Linked DNA regions of Lytechinus pictus. The protein of the gene in region 1 purifies or fractionates together with the protein of each later gene. This does not show direct contact. Links are inferred from orthologs where the notes say so. Each region holds a gene or a part of one and is shown on either strand. Other genes may lie near its edges.

The links.
Region 2: the proteins of WD repeat-containing protein 76-like (region 1) and lymphocyte-specific helicase-like purify together in Homo sapiens (affinity purification with mass spectrometry; 4 studies listed by BioGRID and IntAct, counting the BioPlex papers as one, with this or other methods). This does not show direct contact. The link is inferred for Lytechinus pictus from reciprocal best matches to the Homo sapiens genes WDR76 and HELLS.

Annotation. Positions count from the first base shown.
Region 1 is NC_087250.1:12,391,429-12,400,303, forward strand, and holds the start of WD repeat-containing protein 76-like, read left to right. Parts: upstream 1-5,141; 5' UTR 5,142-5,294; coding exon 5,295-5,432; intron 5,433-7,428; coding exon 7,429-7,662; intron 7,663-8,291; coding exon 8,292-8,396; intron 8,397-8,875. UniProt on the Homo sapiens protein: Specifically binds 5-hydroxymethylcytosine (5hmC), suggesting that it acts as a specific reader of 5hmC.
Region 2 is NC_087260.1:1,349,308-1,358,183, reverse strand, and holds the start of lymphocyte-specific helicase-like, read left to right. Parts: upstream 1-5,447; 5' UTR 5,448-5,758; intron 5,759-8,876. UniProt on the Homo sapiens protein: Plays an essential role in normal development and survival. Involved in regulation of the expansion or survival of lymphoid cells. Required for de novo or maintenance DNA methylation. May control silencing of the imprinted CDKN1C gene through DNA methylation.

The DNA.
Region 1 (8,875 bases):
AAATAAGAGCCTGACAAAAATGGCATGGGTCATTTAACGCTAAAGTACATCTATTATTCATTTCATAAAAATAGGCCTTCACCAGGTTTAAGGGACGCACCATTAGATACCCAGGGGGGGTGGCTGGAAGTTTGGGTGATACAATTTTTCTTTCTTTTCTTCTTTGAGTAAAGTTTTTTTTTTAGTCCATTGAGAATTTGTTTGGCCCTTTTCAGATGATTTGTCAGTGGACCATTTTGTTTTGTTTACTCTGATGGTGAGTCAATTTTTTTCTGCTCATAATAGCAAGTCAATTTTTTGAAAAACTTCCAGCCCCTCCCCCACCTGGATATATAATGGTGCGTCCCTAAAGGGGTACTCCAGGCTGAAAATAATATATAACAGACACGTAAGACCAGAAAAACAAAACACTGCAAACTTGATCAAATCGGGCACAGAATATGCCTTTGTGAAGTTACAACACTATATAAAGGATAAGTCCACCCCAACAAATTGCTGATTTGAATAAAAAGAGAAATATCCAACAAGCATAACACTAAAAATTTCATCAAAATCGGATGTAAAATAAGAAAGTTATTACATTTTAAAGTTTCGCTCAATTTCACAAAACAGTTTATATGCACATCCTGTTTGGTATGCAAATGAGGAGACTGATGACGTTATCCACTCACTATTTCTTTTGTATTTTATTATAGGAAATATTAAATATTTAATTTTCTCCTCATTGTTAAGGGAAACATCGATTAATTTCTCCCTGAACATGTGGAATTAGCATTGTTTAATACTATATGGTTCAGTCAAGTTGGTCCTTATTGTCAAATGTGTAAAAAATGAAATATTGTATAATTCAAACAATAAAAAACAAAAGAAATAGTGAGTGATGGACATCATCAACTGATTCGTTTGAGTTGTACATATCACTGTTTTGTGAAAATAAGCGAAACTTCAAAATGCCATAACTTTTTTTATTTTACATCCGATTTTAATGAAATTTTCAGTGTTATGTTTGTTTAAATTTTCCTTATGGGGGAGCAAGAGCAAAACAATTGCAAAACAATTGGTATGAACAGGCAATGACGTCACAAAGCAACAAATTTGAGAGGGCGATCTGGTGTATCGGGCAAAATAAAAATTTAAAAAGATGCGAGCGAGTTAAAAAAAAATATGATATTTTCATTTTAAAATTCCAATTTTGTGATAGATTTTGACATAATGTTTAAAGCATAATATCATATTTTACTAATCTCTCTCTCCCTTTCTCTTTTTTTTCTTGGTCTGTACGCCACGCTGAACAGGATTTTTTTTATGATTGTGCATGCGCGAGCATCAGGGCGAAGCTCTATACTCGAAGGGGGCCAGTATGGCGCGTGTGGCAAGAGGTAGCTCCCGAGTAAGCGAAGCGAGCGAGATAAAATAAATCACCTTTTCGTGAGAATATAACTTTAAGATAGATTTTTACGTGATATTCAGAAAAATATAATAGGGCCTACACTTTTTCTTTGCTTTGCTTTCTTTCCTCCTTTCTTTTTTGTTTGGTTGAAGAACTTTTTTGGGCCATGGTTCAAATTTTTCCATACAACAGTGCTATGTGGGTGGGGTCCGGGGCGGAGCCCCCGGAACCTCATGATACTATAAAGTCATTTTAAACCTTACCGATGGCCACTATTTTAAAAATCAAATTGCGTCTATATTATATAGCTTTCACAGTGACACAACACATAAATTAATTGCAGTTGCGTAATATTTTATCCAAATATTTTGAGGGGGCACACCATACTAAATGGGAGAAAATTTGTAAAAAGTTCCCAGCGAGCGAAGCGAGCCAGAATGAAAAATGGACCTTTGAAATGAAATTCTAATTATGTGATAGATTTTTACATGATAGCAAACAACATGTCATATATTGTTTCCATTCATCTAATTTCGCTGCCTCGTTGATTTTCGTTAATTTCCCCTTGGCTGTGGAACCACCCCCCCCCCCGTACGCCAGTGCTTCAACGCAAAGCTTATAATGCAGGAAGGGTCCATACAGGGGCCCGTTATATAGAGCCCTTTAAGGACGTTCCACAGAACATATTTGTGCGCATTATGATCTGCGCATAGTTTACACTCTGCGCGCTGACGTCACAATGGATGAACAGGTGATAGCTGCGGGTATGAGCTGATTTTTCTCATCTTCTGCACTTTAACTGCAGATCCGATGCGTTATTTCATGAAGCTAAAAAATTGAATTATTCCATGGACCATTCAAAAATATATTCTCTACAATTTCAAAATACTTTACTCTGCAGTGCTGCCAAGAATCACGAATATTACCCCGAGTTTGAATAAATGGTAGAGTGGTTTTGATTTTTTCTTCACATAGATACTAAGCATTTGGCCCATTTTTTGTGTTTTAGAAAGCACATTTGCTCTAATAAAAATGCTGATAGTTTAAAAACAAGCACATGAACCCCTATTTTTTAATGTTTGCACCTCTTAGGTATACCTTCCTCTACAACTCTGCAAATTTTGGTGAAAATGACATGGATTTTGAATAAAGTGCAGCATTTATCGTACGTTTGTAGTTTGTTACTGAAATTTTACATTTTTTAGATTGGGATTTTGTTATCTTTTACGCCATTTTTAAGAACTGACAGTGCTGTTAAACTTAAAATTGCAAACAAATAGCACTATTAATAGATTCTCCATTCTAACGATACAATTATCAACTCTCTTGCGAAATTTGATGACTTTTTCATGTATTTTGACTGAGTAATAGAGGTTTAAACTCATTGTAGTAATCTTGGGCGGTCTAAAAATGCCAAATTCTTTTGAATGCGCAATTCTTAAGAACATCAATTTGGGTGAACTTTGAAGCTCTATAGCAAAAAATCAAGCACATGGACCTATGTTAATTTTTGCATATTTCGAATATTAAGGTTCTAAAGTATCTATGTGCAAAGTTTGGTGAAAATGACATGGATTTCACTTTAACTGTGGAACGTCCTTAAATGTTACAGATGAAGAGCCCCTACTGCACGGGGTCTTGGGCAGAGCCCCCGGTAGCTTTGGAGATTTAGCAAGCTTATATAGAATTTCGTACATTATGCTATTATGCCATCCATCTTTTAGATGTATTGCTGTACACATGCATGACCAAATTATTTGGTACCCCCTAAACGAGTTTTTCTCTGTGTGCAAAATAATCCCCTTATCAATTTTTTTCGCGCGCTTCAGTCATATTGGCCCCTAAACAAGTTTTGTCTCGGGCCCGAACACTTTTCAGAAACGAGGAGGAGAAAGCACCTTTTATTTGAAAATCGGTGTTTTTGATACCCTTGAAAGGCCACCGCACACCTTACGACTGGTCTGCGACCCGATTTCAGAATAAAATGTAATAGAATTTGATGCTAGTATTGAGACTTGGAATATCTTACTGTGTAATGTTCGAAATCATCGTATACCTATGATCAAATTTGTGACTATGCTATCATCCTTCTTAGAATAAAAGCGAATTTAATATATAGTCGTTATGACGTCATAGGAGTCTTACGATTGGGTACGATTTGAAACTAATTTGGACTTTACTCCAAAATAAGGGCATGCAATCTTTCAAAATTGTTATAATATTATTATTTCAATTAATTTTAACCTCAAATAAAATGATATGTTCCATTCACATCTTCAGAAAATGAGCAAAATGCGATTTGTTCCAAAATCGGGTCGCGGACCAGTCGTAAGGTGTGCGGTCGCCTTAACGAGTGCACTCGCGGCCCGCGTCCAAAACTGAAAAAAAAAACCAACACCCCTTTAATAGCGTTTTTTGGTCATTTTTTACAGCAATATTTTTGACTGCCCCGGGGTTTTCCCTTTTTATGTGTTTCTTATAGTTTTCTGTTCCCTTTCATTTCCCTTTCCTCCCCCCCGGCCCCCCCCCTTTCCTCCTTTTCTTCCTTTTCTTTCCCTTTCCATTTCTTTCTTTCTTTTTTTCTTTCTTTCTTTCTTTCCTTCCTTCCTGTCTTCTTCCTTTCTTTTTTCCTTCCTTCGGCATTCCTTTCTTTCGTTCTTTCTTTTTTCCTTCCTTCGACATTCCTTTCTTTCGTTCTTTCTTTTTTCCTTCCTTCCTTCCTTCCCAAGTTCCTCCTTCCTTTCTTTCTTTCTTTCTTTTGTTCTCTCTCCCTTTTTTCTTTTTATTATAATTTTCCCGGTGAAATCCGCCAGGGGGGCGGGGGAGCTTGCCCCATTCTGCCCCCCGCCTGTTACGCCACTGCCTATAGCCTACTATGGGGGTACTATGATCTTACTGAGATCATAATCTTTTTCACTGCATGCACCGAAATAATGCTCACTTTAAAATGTCACAACCTTGTTATCCTTTTAGTATTTTGATAATTTTTTAATTGTTTTGTAGGTCTGATTTTACTTAAAGGACAATTATAAGTCCACCCAAGCAAAAAATTGATAAAATTAAAAGAGAAAAATCCAACGAGCATAACACTGAAAAATTCATCAAAATCGGGAATAAGAAAGTTTTGACATTTAAGTTTTGCTTAATTTCATATAACAGTTATATTCACATCCTGGTCGGTACGCAAATGAGGGGACTGATATGACATCACTCACCTATTATTTATTTTGTATTTTATTATTCATAATAATATGAAATATTCCAGTTTTCTTCCCGTTGTAGCCTACTATATAGTTTTATTCCTCCTTGAACATGTAGAATTACCATTGTTTTAACATTTTATGGTTCAGTCAAGTTGGGCCTTGTTTTAAGATCTGTAAAAATTGAAATATTATATAATTCAAACAATGAAAAACAAAAGAAATAGTGAGGGACATCATCGACTCATTATTTTGCTCGTCACTGAGTTGTACTGCATACATGGCATAGGGCCTAACTGTGATAAATAAGCGAAACTTTAAATTGTCGTAACTTTCTTATTTTACATCCGCTTGTGATAAAATTATTAGCGTTATGCTTGTTTGATTTTTCTCTTTTGATTGCAATCAACATTTTCTGGGGTGGACTTGACCTTTAAGACCTTTAATCTGTTCAAATCAATATTTTTATGCAGCACTACGTATTCGTCTTCTGAAACACCCCTTCCCTCCCCGGGGACGAGGTTGCAGCAAGCCGATGTTTCGTAATCAAAGCGCGCGCAATTTATGTAAACATGACTTTTCACGTGCATAAACACGACATACCGTATATACTGTGCATGTGCTGTGTGACATCAATTGATAAATTCGTGGATCTGTCTGTGACTGTGTACATGCTCTCGACTGTTCATCAGAACCTGCTATAAATGATCGCAACTAAAACATTTTATAAATCAGCTAATATGGCCCCTGTAACTCGCACTCGAAATCCAAGACCAAAGCGAGAAGGAGGTTCTGAACTTGAAGCAGCCGAATCAACATTGGCTTCGAAGAGAGCAAAGCGGGTAAGTCATGCAGGCTCTTGTTGATTTCATCGATGGTCGCCGCCGAGGGATGCCGGGATCTCGCCGGACTTTGACTTGTAATGAACCGAACCGTAGCCTGGCCAGAGACGAAGCTGTCACTGTCACTGTATTCAGCTTCATATTTTAGTGTGTTAGTTAATTCTTACATCTAATTCTAGAATTATGATATTAAATTCAAATGTATAAAATGATATTAGGAACCTGTCAGCTGTCTTATTTGTTTTAATAATTTAATTTCTTTAATAAAAATAAATAGATTGACATAGGCCTAGTTAGGCACTTAGTTAGCAGTAGAGGCGCACGGCCAATATTGGAGACTGTCTCCAATGTGGGAGATTATCTCCAATATCAGAGACTTTTGTAAAGAATTTGGGTATCCAATTTCAGAGACAGTCTCCAGTTTTGGAGACCAATTTCCTTTGTTTACATTTGCTGCAAAAGGATTACCTTGGCGGCAAATAAAAATGTGATAAGGAGATTCCTCATGAAAAATTACCCCTTTTCACCGTCTACTTTAAACATTCACCGTCTACTTTTGTTTTGATAAGGATTTTTGTTGTCAATCACACACAAAACAAATGGACTTCTGACCTCAGTGAGACAAACTTTTGGGTGGAAAAAATAATGCTTTTGTTGGTGTTTCTTTTGTCCTTTTGCAAAGCAAGTCTCCAATGTGGGAGATTGCCTCCCCTATTGGAGAGAGTCTCCTATATTAGCCGTGCGCCTCTACTGGTTAGGGTCTAACTTGTTAGGCCTATATAAGTTACTAAAACTCTAACCCTAACGTCTGACATTTGGGCGAGGCAGTATAAGTTTCAGGGAAATTTAATCTAAGTTAATTAAAGTTGAATGTTACTTTATGTTAGCTGGCTTTGTTTGATTTTAAAATTTTTATTGGGTCAGCCTTAAAAAAAGGTAGGCCTAGTATTTTGAATGCAAAGTCAGTACTATTAATTACAAACAATAACTTATTAATCTAAGTTAATTAAAGTTGAATGTTACTTATGTTAGCTGGCTTTGTTTGATTTTAAAAATTTTATTGGGTCAGCCTTAAAAAAGGTAGTCTTTGGAATACAAATTAAGTTAGTATTAATTACAAACAATAACTTATTAAGACAGAGAAATGAAGAAGAGGAAGTCTGGAAAACAGAAAATATAACGATGGCATGCAGCCTGCAGGACTTCCTCGATGTAGCCTTCGAGTGCTTAAAGGTCAAGTCCACCTCAGAAAAATGTTGATTTTAATCAATAGAGAAAAATCAGACAAGCATAATGCTGAAAATTTCATCAAAATCGGATGTAAAATAAGAAAGTCATGATATTTTAAAGTTTCGCTTATTTTTCACAAAATAGCTATATATGCACAATTTAGTCACATGCAAATGAGATAATCGATGATGTCCCTCACTCTCTATTTCTTTTGTTTTTTATTGTTTGAATCATACAATATTTCAATTTTTACAGATTTGACAATAAAGACCAACTTGACTGAAAAAAAAAAAGTTAAACAATGGTAATTCCACATGTTCAGTGCGAAATAAAACTTTGTTTCACAGGACAATGAGGAAAAAATTAGAATATATCATATTTCATATAATAAAATACAAAAGAAATAGTGAGTGTGTGATGTCATCAGTTCCCTCATTTGCATACCGACCAGGATGTGAATATAACTATTTTGTGAAATTAAGCGAAACTTAAAATTGTCATAACTTTCTTATTTTCCATCCGATTTAAATGAAATTTTCAGTATTCTGCTTGTTGGATTTTTCTCTTTTTATTCAAATCCACTTATGGTTGGGGTGGACTTGTCCTTTAATTAATAAAATAACCTTGGCCAAAAAAAAGTGCCAGAATATCCCCATTCATTACTATGTTGAAGCTTTTCTAATACTGCAGATTTATCAATTAGGTTGTGAAAATTGGTCCACCGAACCTATTTTTTTCATCTTTCTATTTTTTTTTTTTTTTTCAGACTTCTGTTAGTTTGAAAGCAGAGATGCCAGATGCCGACTTGTCGCCCGCCGTCAGACGCTCACCAAGAGTTATGAAAAAGGACGCAAAGGTGTCGCTGACCAGGACAAACATCTTGAAGGAAAATGTTCAGAGAGGGAAGGAAAAGGTGAAAAAGGAAATCAAAGAGGAGGAGGATGAAGAAGAGGAGAATGCGGATATCAGACCTCTAAAAGAAGAATCAGATGTAGAAATGGTAATAATGATATTTCATTTACTTAGGGTAGCCACTATAGTTGGGAATGATAATAATAACTCTTATTTACCCAGTATTACCACTATTACCATTTCAGCTGCAAGCCGTTTTTACCGCTGGTAGAGAAGAGAAACTCTACCGTACCATGACATAAGATGTTATTACTATCCTTCTCTAATCTTAAGTGCTGAGCACCTAGCGAAGGTGAAGGTCCCATTTTTATACATGTTAGTCTTTGTCAGGGGCGGATCCAGGATTTTCCAAAAGGGGGCGGGCTACATGTAAGTTCGAATTCGGAGTCCAAAGGTCACAGCTCATATATGCGAGTTGGTTCAAAGGTCTAAATTCATTGTTTTGGTTTCTGCACGATATTAAGTTCAATCATATCGAATGAATTTCTGATCGCGTTAAGCGGGGGCATCTGTGTCCTTTGGACATGTCAAATTTCTAGTTTTTTCAGTGTTTTGTTCTGTTGCATCATTATTAGTTTTTGTCTTCTATCTATCTCTGTAGGGAAGTCACTGTAGAAATAGAATTATCATTATTTAATTAGATACAGAGCATAGTTGAAATCTGTTCAAATTATTTAACTTTTATCTTCATATTTCTTCAATATTTCATTAATACAGAGTGATGGGGAGGAGACCCACCCGGGTTTATCAGAATATGAGCAGAGGAGGATGGAGAACATCTCCAAGAATGCTGAGTTCTTCGCTTCTCTTGATATCTTCAAGGTCAGTTTCTTCAGGACCATTCACATCGCTCCGTGCTGACCTTGCGGGCGAGTTGTGGTCAATCACCCCCAACTCACTCGTAACATGGTTTTGAGCATGTTCAAAACTTTTCTGGGGGCAATCAAACAAGTTTGCGTGCGCTCCTGTGGGTAACTGTCACGTGCAAGACTTGCACGGAACAATGTGACAAGGCCTTATAAATTACAAATCTTATTGCATATTATCATCTGTTTTCGTTGGGAAGTTGACACCATTCGGACACAAATCATAAAATGGAATGAGATTTATATATTCTAGGTCAGGTTCGTTAGGGTCTGAGGCCAATAAAAACTATTTTCAGAGTAAGAAATGATGGTGATAATAATACTGATAAAATGATGATGAATAATTATAATAAGGCATTCATGATACCAAAGACTATACTTGTAGCTTGAGAAGGCTGTATCAAGTTTCATTAGTTTTGCCTACATTTATAGTGG
Region 2 (8,876 bases), on another chromosome or scaffold:
TGAAGGAAATGCTATCATAAACATCCTACTCAAGCTATAAAGTGCTCCAAAGCAACATATTGAAATTTGTTTATCATGCCTTTGTTAGCTCCCAACAATATTACTTATTAGTCTCTAACACAAATCTTTCTGGTCCTTCACAAAATCAAAATTTCGTCGCGCTTCGTGGCTGTCGATTGAGATAGAAAAATGCACTCAATAGAAAACATGTCACTTTAAAATCCAGTTTTTTTTATCGGTTTGCACAAATTCTTCTTCTCGAGAATCGAGCTTTCATTATTGTTCTAGCAAGATATACGCATCCTGCACATTCATAAATAAAAACAAATTGTTGAATGTTAAACATTTCCATCTACGTGCTCGCATCCATTGTTTAATGAGATACCCATGCTGTTAATGGTTGCAAAAAAGTGCTTAAATAATGTCAAGTTATCATATCAGGATGCTTTCTAGCAAGCGCTTTGCACTCGCATTATTGGAGAGATATCATCTTTACAATTCTTAACAGGTCCATTTTCCAGTTAATAGTGCCTATATTAGAAATGTTAGCTCGTGCTTCGCGTTCGCAATTTTGTGAAACACTCACTTTGCCCCTATATTAGTCAGCAGATAGTCAGTAGGGGGCCTACATGTGAAATGATCCCCCCACATGCCCCAAAGAATGAAAATACATCACTACATCATAATTAGTAACAATTTTATTACTATTATTATTATTTTTTTTTTTGGGGGGGGGGGGCTATCATCCATATTCTTGTTGTTGTTGTTATAATTATTAATATTGTTATCATTATTATTATTATCATTATCATCATCATTATTATTATTATCATCATCATCATCATCACCATTATCATCATCATCATCATTATTATTATTGTTATTATAATAATCATTATCATTATTATCAATTCCTGATTATACATGGTAATATAGCCTGCAGACTGTTCACCAGAGGGCCCTAGCTGTCACAATATCTACAAATACAAAAAGCAAAGGACAACAAAAATAGAACGATTTTTTTATTCAAATTAACTTTTAGTTGGGATGGACTTGGGTTATCACATCAGGATCGTTTTTTTTTAGCTATAGCGCTTTGCATCTTAGAGAGATATCATATATTTACAGTTCTTAGCAGGTCCATTTCCCTGTTGAGTATAGCGCCTATATTAGAAATTTGAACTCGTGCTTCGTGCTCGCGATTTTGTGAAATAGGCAAAAAAAAAATCATGTCCGTTTGAAAAGCCTGGTGCCTCCACTGGGAACAATAACTTCTTCAATTTGTCAGCAGATAGTCAGTAGGGGTCCTACATGTGAAACCACCCCCGGTCCCCCCACATGCCCACAAGAATGAAAATACATCCCTAGATTACAATTATTAAAAATGTTATTAGTAGTGCACTATAATTTTTTTTTGTGGCTATTATCCATATTCTTCTTAATTGTTATTATTATTATTATTGCTATCATTATTTAGTAGTAGTGGTAGTATCATCAATATTATTATTATTGTTATTATTATAATTCTTCTTCTTCTTATTATTATTATCATCATCATCATTATCATCAAGTCCTGTTTATGCAGGGTATATAGCCTGCAGACTGTTCACTCAGAGGGTCCTGTTACATGTCCACAAATACAAAAAGCAAAGACAACAAAAAATAGAACGATGCAAAAAAAAAAAAAAAAAATAGGCCTATAAAACATATTGTAAGTTTTCAAGAAGACATAATAAAAATCACGAAGACAACTTATAGTTTTCAACAAAAAGAAAAAATATCATGGTAGCACTTGGAGCTAGTAGGCCAGGGTTTACAAATTATTAAACTACGTCTTGTAAAAGTAAAATGAATGAAAAGCGATTATACCTGAAAAAAAAATCGAACAAAGTGATTGTGTAAACCAATACATGTATTTGAGAAAGTTGCCTTTGCTTGAGACCCGTGATTTTCTTGACAGTTGAGGAAAACTGTGCGAATATTTGGCTGTTATACAGTCAGTCCGCAGCCCGTCCGAAAGTGCTCTATTTTATTCAGCGGTATGCATAGCCGTCCGTGGTTATGCATACGTAATGAGCTGTGAAGACGAACTTTCCGATCGGTGTTTTTTGCTCTTAGAATCGTTTATTCCTCACAAAATTGGTCTTATTTTATAGATAAAACTTTGAAATTTCTGATCAGCTAAATAAAATGCACATTTAATGTATTTTGAAGACCGATATTTAGCTTAGAAAAAATGATTTTTTTCAAGAAATATATGTGAATAAACAGAGCGCATTTTTGCATCGAAATTATACTTGCGTCAAATTGATATTATAATCAATATAAAGCGTAGACATTCTTCTTTACGACTGAAAAAGAATTATGAAATTTCATGATGTAGCAAAGTCAGGAACCACAAAAAACCACGGCAATGTCCATCGCAAAATGATTGGAATTGCAGTAGAATTGCCGACGCGTTCTGATTGGTCAACAGCGGCGCACAGACTTGCAACATTTTATATAGCTTAAAAAACCCGGAAGTAGTACGGAATAGATCGATGGCGAATTGCGTAAGCGCATTGTTTTGGCGTGTGCAAGGACCCTGGTTCGAACCCGCCGGACTGTTTTTTTTTTTTTTTTTTTTGGGGGGGGGGGGGGGTGATGGGGATATGTTTATGCTTTTTCTTTAAATCATATTCCTTCATCGTTCCTACCCAGCTTTATTCTCTTTTTACTTTCATGTGAAGTTCTATTTAGGCCTGCATTTATTAAATCATGGAGCTATTAATAGCTCTATGATTAATTCTTACTTCTTCTTAATCACTGCTTTTGATTTTCAAGTTCTTGATTACACTTATTTGGGCAGGGGTGGGAAGGGAAGTGAGTTAAAGGTCAAGTGCACATCAACAAAAAATTATTTGAATAAATACAGAAATTTCCCTTTTTTAACACAAAACAGTTATATACACAAAACAATGGTATGCAAATAGAGTTGATTATGTCACTCACATCACATTACTTTTTAAATTTTTGTTGCATTTTTATTATATAAATTTTAGCAAATTTGATCTAAAAAATCTTCCTCGAATCACAATAGGTTACATTTATGGAAACTACGAATGTTAATGGAGGAATTAAAATCCCTCTCAAAATTTGTTAATGAAAATTAAAATAAAATATACATGTCATGTACATGTATCAAACAAAAAAATACACAAGAAATTAGAGTGCTTGTGACATAATCGAGTCTGTAATTTGCACATTGACCAAGATGAGCATATAATTGTTTTATAAAATTAGGCAAATTTCTCAATGTCAAAATAGTAATTTTTTTAATTTTGAATCATAGTTTTTATGAAATTTTCTGCAATACTTTATTTTTCTTTAAATTCAAATTAATTTTTGGTGGGGTGGACTTCTCCTTTACTCTTTGCTTGGAATAGGGAATGCACATTAATATTTATCCACGAACAAAATTGTCTAAACATATGCAAATCCGTAATTGGACACATGCTCACTTTCCTTTCATCCAGGCCACTCCCTCACATCCACCAGGTTTACAGTCTTATAACAAAAATGATGAATTAATTATAATACCATCACACCATAGCTCCATGATCACACAACATCCATACAGTGCTTCACAACAAATATTTCACTTCTGTTCATATATGCAATAATTACTGTGGAAAACAAAAACAAGGCGTAACCACATTCAAATACCGTTTAAAAGGACAAATATATTATACCTTCGAAAAAAAAAATTGTGAACATACATGGCACTTAACCTTCAGCACATTAGATAACATATAACAGAGTTGCTTGAGAACAAAATATGATTATGGGGCATTGCAAGAAACTTATGTTCAATTTCAATTGCAAATCAACTACATGTTTGTGTTTAATCAAAGGACTTACCCTTAATTTTGGAATGTGTGATTGAGTAGAAAGTTTCTTGCAATGCACTATTAGTAACATTAAAAATGTCCTTTGGTTTTGAATTGTGAATTTTTATTTTTGTCAAGCTGTATTCCTGTCCAAGTCAGTATTCTTAGTCCTCCCCAAAACTGTGCTCTAATTTTTTTGTTTCCAATATCGATAAAGATAAATTTTATGTTGTATCAGTCCAAAATTTGTAAACGAAATAAGGGCTTTGTCGAAATCATGGTCTGACCATTATAGTACATGATGGACTCTCCCAGAATGAAGTAGCAAGCAGAGACCAGAGTCAGCAAGTATGCAGATCTGTGTGTAGAAGAGACAAAAAAGAGAGAAATAGTCTAAATTACTAAATAACCATTCAAAGTATGAATTATGTTACATGTACGTCAATTAAGAGACTAACTAAGTTAAGTCTAAGTACTGTACGTGACAGCCACAATTTTTTTATTTGAACAAAATGGTTTATAAATACTACTGACTACTGAGTACGGTAGTACCAGACTTTTTAGTTTGACTTTAAACTGTTTATAGTCTCTAGAGTAGACTGTCTGAGCTAATCATCATTTAATTCTTAACCGCAGCCTGGGCTGGGGCAAAAATCATCATGGGGCTCAACTTCGACTAATTTAGTAATTAAGAAAAAAGGTTAACAATTTTCAACATAAATCAAGAAATATCTCAATCTATAAAGTATAATAAAAACTTGATGGAATTCGGAAACCTGATAATCATTGAATAAAACTTTAGAAGGGATCTACTTATTAAGCTTCGTTTATATCGAGTCTTAATTAAAAAAAAACAAGTCCACCGTCCACAGACACATATAATGCGAGCCATCTGCCATCATTACAGAAGTTTCAACGTATGGGACCAAAGGCGAAATTCTACCAACCCGCGACGAACGTAATTTTGGCATTATTTCGCGCCATCGTGGAGTGAACGAGAAGGTTACTTCCGGGTAAAACGTAAATTTCTCGATTTTTAGGGTATCACTTTCTCTAAAATTAAAATATAAGGTGAGTTTGCGTCAAGTTGGTTCTGACATATTTTGAACAGTGACTTTTCTTCTTTCTAAAAAATCCTGATCGAAACAATTTGGTTATGTAGCAAAGTCAGGAACCAAAAGTGAAATTCCGACTACAAAATCGCAGTTAAAATATTACTAAAATAAGCATCAATTAAAGAGGTAAAAATGGTAGGTTGAAAATGTCGAAATATGGAAAATTATATACCAAACTGTAGATGAAGGTCTTGAGAATAACTTACCACAATTCGTCTCGATGTAAACTGAAGTTAGCGACCAGTACAGAGCTATAACTTCAGCCCCTCCAATTCAGTTGGAAAATCAAGCCAAATTGATCGCACGTTTTCCTTCGGAGACCGCTAGAGGGCCGCTGAATAAATTTCCGTGAATATGCTCATTATCGCGCGAGCTGCGGTCTGACTGTATATCATTCAGTGAAGAGGATGCGCCTGCGCATTTCATTTTTAAGCTCAACTTATGAATAATTCATGTCCATAGCGGCCATGTACGGAAAAATAATACTAGTAACGTCCTTTGGGTTTGGGTACGTGCAGCGCACGTGCGTCAGCGCGCGCATGTTATGCAATGCATTTAATTTTAGCGCGAAAATAATCACTGAAATCACTAGAAGCGTTAAGCATGCATATCATGCAGCGCGCGCAGTGGAAATAATTTGAGATTTCGCAGATAGCAAACGTGATGCAGCGCATCGACGCCGACCGACGTGCAGACATTACGCAACGACAACATACGCTGCCTTTTCTTGAAATTGACCAACTTCTAGAGTAGAGACATCAGATTCGTTAGCTAGTAAGTGCCATGAATGAATTAAAAATCATTTTCAATTCTAGGATAAGATTTATCTTATTTAACTGAAACTTTACCCCCGATTGCAGCTGGTACCAGGCCAGGCCAGGTGAGCAGCAGCTGAGCTGACTGCATGCGGCTAGTTAAGCGAGGCCCGAGGTGCAGGTGTCGCGTCGTAGCCCGCGGCCCGGCCGCAGGCGCGGGGCTGAGCTGAGCCTGAATTCAATTAGTGTTGTTGACTGTTCGTAATGCTTCACGGTTTCAAGGACTTTGAATTGTTGAAATTACTTTTTGTCTCACCCATGTAGGATACATGCACGTTCTTACAGTTACACTTAGTATGATGCAAACTCGACCATGGACATGGTGACTTTTGTGTGTTCACTGTTACTGTTAGTACTGACAGAGTGAACAGTGGAGAAGGACATGCTCTATAGCAGGGGTTCTCAAACTACGGCCCGCGGGCCGGATCCGGCCCGCAGAGCTTCTCAATCCGGCCCGCGAGACTCTGCTGGGATTTTTTTTATCACTTTTAAGTCACAATATGAAAGAGCTCAATATGATTACATCGTGTATCCACGTAGACCTAACCGTAATAAAAGTAATGGCAGTCAAATTAATTCGACTTTTAAACAGAGTTTAGTGGAGTCTTTTCTGTCTGTTTTATCTACTTTCTTATTAGATGACCAGCGCAATTGTCGCTATGTTTGGATCTACATACAGGTGCGAAAGTGCATTTTCCATAATGAACATTTCAAAGAACTCACTCATACCGAAGTACCTTAGTGGCCACGGAACGGTTTTCAAATGGGGGGGGGGGGGGAGGGGGGTCTGGTCATGCAAAAAATCACAATCATATGGTCATTTTTACTTTTTTGTACATGGTTTTTGAAAAAAGGGGGGGCAGCCCCCCCCCCCCCCTTTCACGGCCCCTGCTTGACCAGTGAACATTTGCACCAGTGTCTTCGTCTGGCAATTACACCTTTTGTGCCAAGGTTCATGCAACTTGTTGCTGTCACATTTCCCATATTAAAAGTGACTAGTAGACTGACATCCTTGTTATAGTCTACAACAGACATGGTCTATTATTCATTTTACTTTGACTACAAAAAATATTGATACTTCAAGACATTATCTGTCTCCCCAATACCAGGTATGTAAAGGTACTATCTAGATTCCTTTTAATATGTTTTAAAGTACTACAATTTGTTATCATTAATATTGACTCTCGCTGTATTTTGAAATCTTTTCTTATTTTGCCTGCGTTCCATATGAAACTGTTATAAATTTGTTAGATTAAATGCTCCCAAAATAAGGGCCAGATTGCACAAGAGGGCATCTAGGACCCCGACCGCAGGGGTCTTTGCGCTTCGCGCACATTTTTTTCTAAGTATCCACTTCACGCTGGCCCTTTCAAGTTTACTTGGAGTCTCATCTGGCCCTTCAAAGAAAAAGTTTGAGAACCCCTGCTCTATAGTTTCCCTGTCTCTGTTGCAACTGCAGTTAGGTGAAGGGTGGTTGTGAGGGAAAATTCTGTGCATATTGTCATTGAGTTTGGTATGTCCTGTGAGCATCCTATTCAGCTTCACTTCTGTGGATCTTGGAAGAGAGCTGTGTGCATTCTTCCTGGCAACTGTGGGCTGGAGTTGGTATGTCCATCTTCCTTTTGTAGATCTGTCCCATCGTCGTTGCCACAGCTTCTCAGTGTTCTTACGGATAATCTTGGCACTTTCCTTGTGCAGAGTAATTTCAGAAGCTAATGATGATGAGCTTGCAGCTTCCAAAGCAGCATCCTTGGCTAGTTGGTCAGCAAGTTCATTTCCCATGATATTTGCATGCCCAGCGATCCATGTGATGGTGACAGTAGTGCCTCTACTTCTTAGAAGAGTGATGTTTTTATTAGTGCGAGACACACCCTCTGGAGCCTGCACGAACATCGCCTGAGGTACTGTTATGGTTATGTATTGTTAGATTGAAGAAAAAGTCAGAAGTTGATCTGGCTTGCATAAAAGTTGCAATTTGATCTGTGTAACCATGGCATGGTAACTGTAAGTCAGTGTAAAGAGTTGATAAAAATGTGTGCAAAATCTAGTCTTGAGGACGCAATGATGATGACTTTTTAAATCCTGTCATAATTCTTCATCATTGACGTCTTGAACAGGCCCACATAGACATAGACATGTAAGAGAACCAGGTAAATAAAGGTGGATTTCCCTTGGAAATCCATCTTTTGATGAAATAGTCACGTAAAATATTTTTATTTTATTAATTTCTACACCTTCCTACACCTAATGCGTAGGAAGGTTTAAAAAAATCTTCGGTAAAAATGATACAAAATGAAGGTTTCTTACCAGATCGATGTCGCGTAGACCCCTCGATCCACATGTAAACAACGCAAATACAATGGCGTTGACCCTTGAACCGCTTATGTATTACGCACTTCCGATAAGCCATGCCGTTTTAAAGAACAATTTATAGATAAAAAATATTATTTCACGAATATTAAAATTTATTACGTGATTATAAATAATTAGTCTAATATTGATAATTATTTATAATCACGTAATAAATTTTAATATTCGTAAAATAATATTTTTTATCTATAAATTGTTCTTCAGAACGGCATTGCTTATCGAAAGTGCGTAATACATAAGCGGTTCAAAGGTCGACGCCATTGTATTTGTGTTGTTTACATGTGGATCGAGGGGTCTACGCAACATCAATCTGGTAAGAAACCTTCATTTTGTATCATTTTTACCGAAGATTTTTTTAAACCTTACCTTCCTACGCATTAGGTGTAGGAAGGTGTAGAAATTAATAAAATAAAAATATTTTACGTGACTATTGCATCAAAAGATGGATTTCCAAGGGAAATCCACCTTTATTTACCTGATTCTCTTACATGTCTATGTGGGCCTGTTCAAGACGTCAATGATGAAGAAGTATATGACAGGATTTAAAAAGTCATCATCATTGCGTCCTCGAGACTATGCAAAATCAGGATCGAAATTGTGCTACTTCAAAAATTATTGGTTGCCCGATTTGGGCCACCAAAACTTAGCATTATTCAATAATCATTGATATTTGATAATGGTTGCCCGAGGTGAATTTTATGTCAACA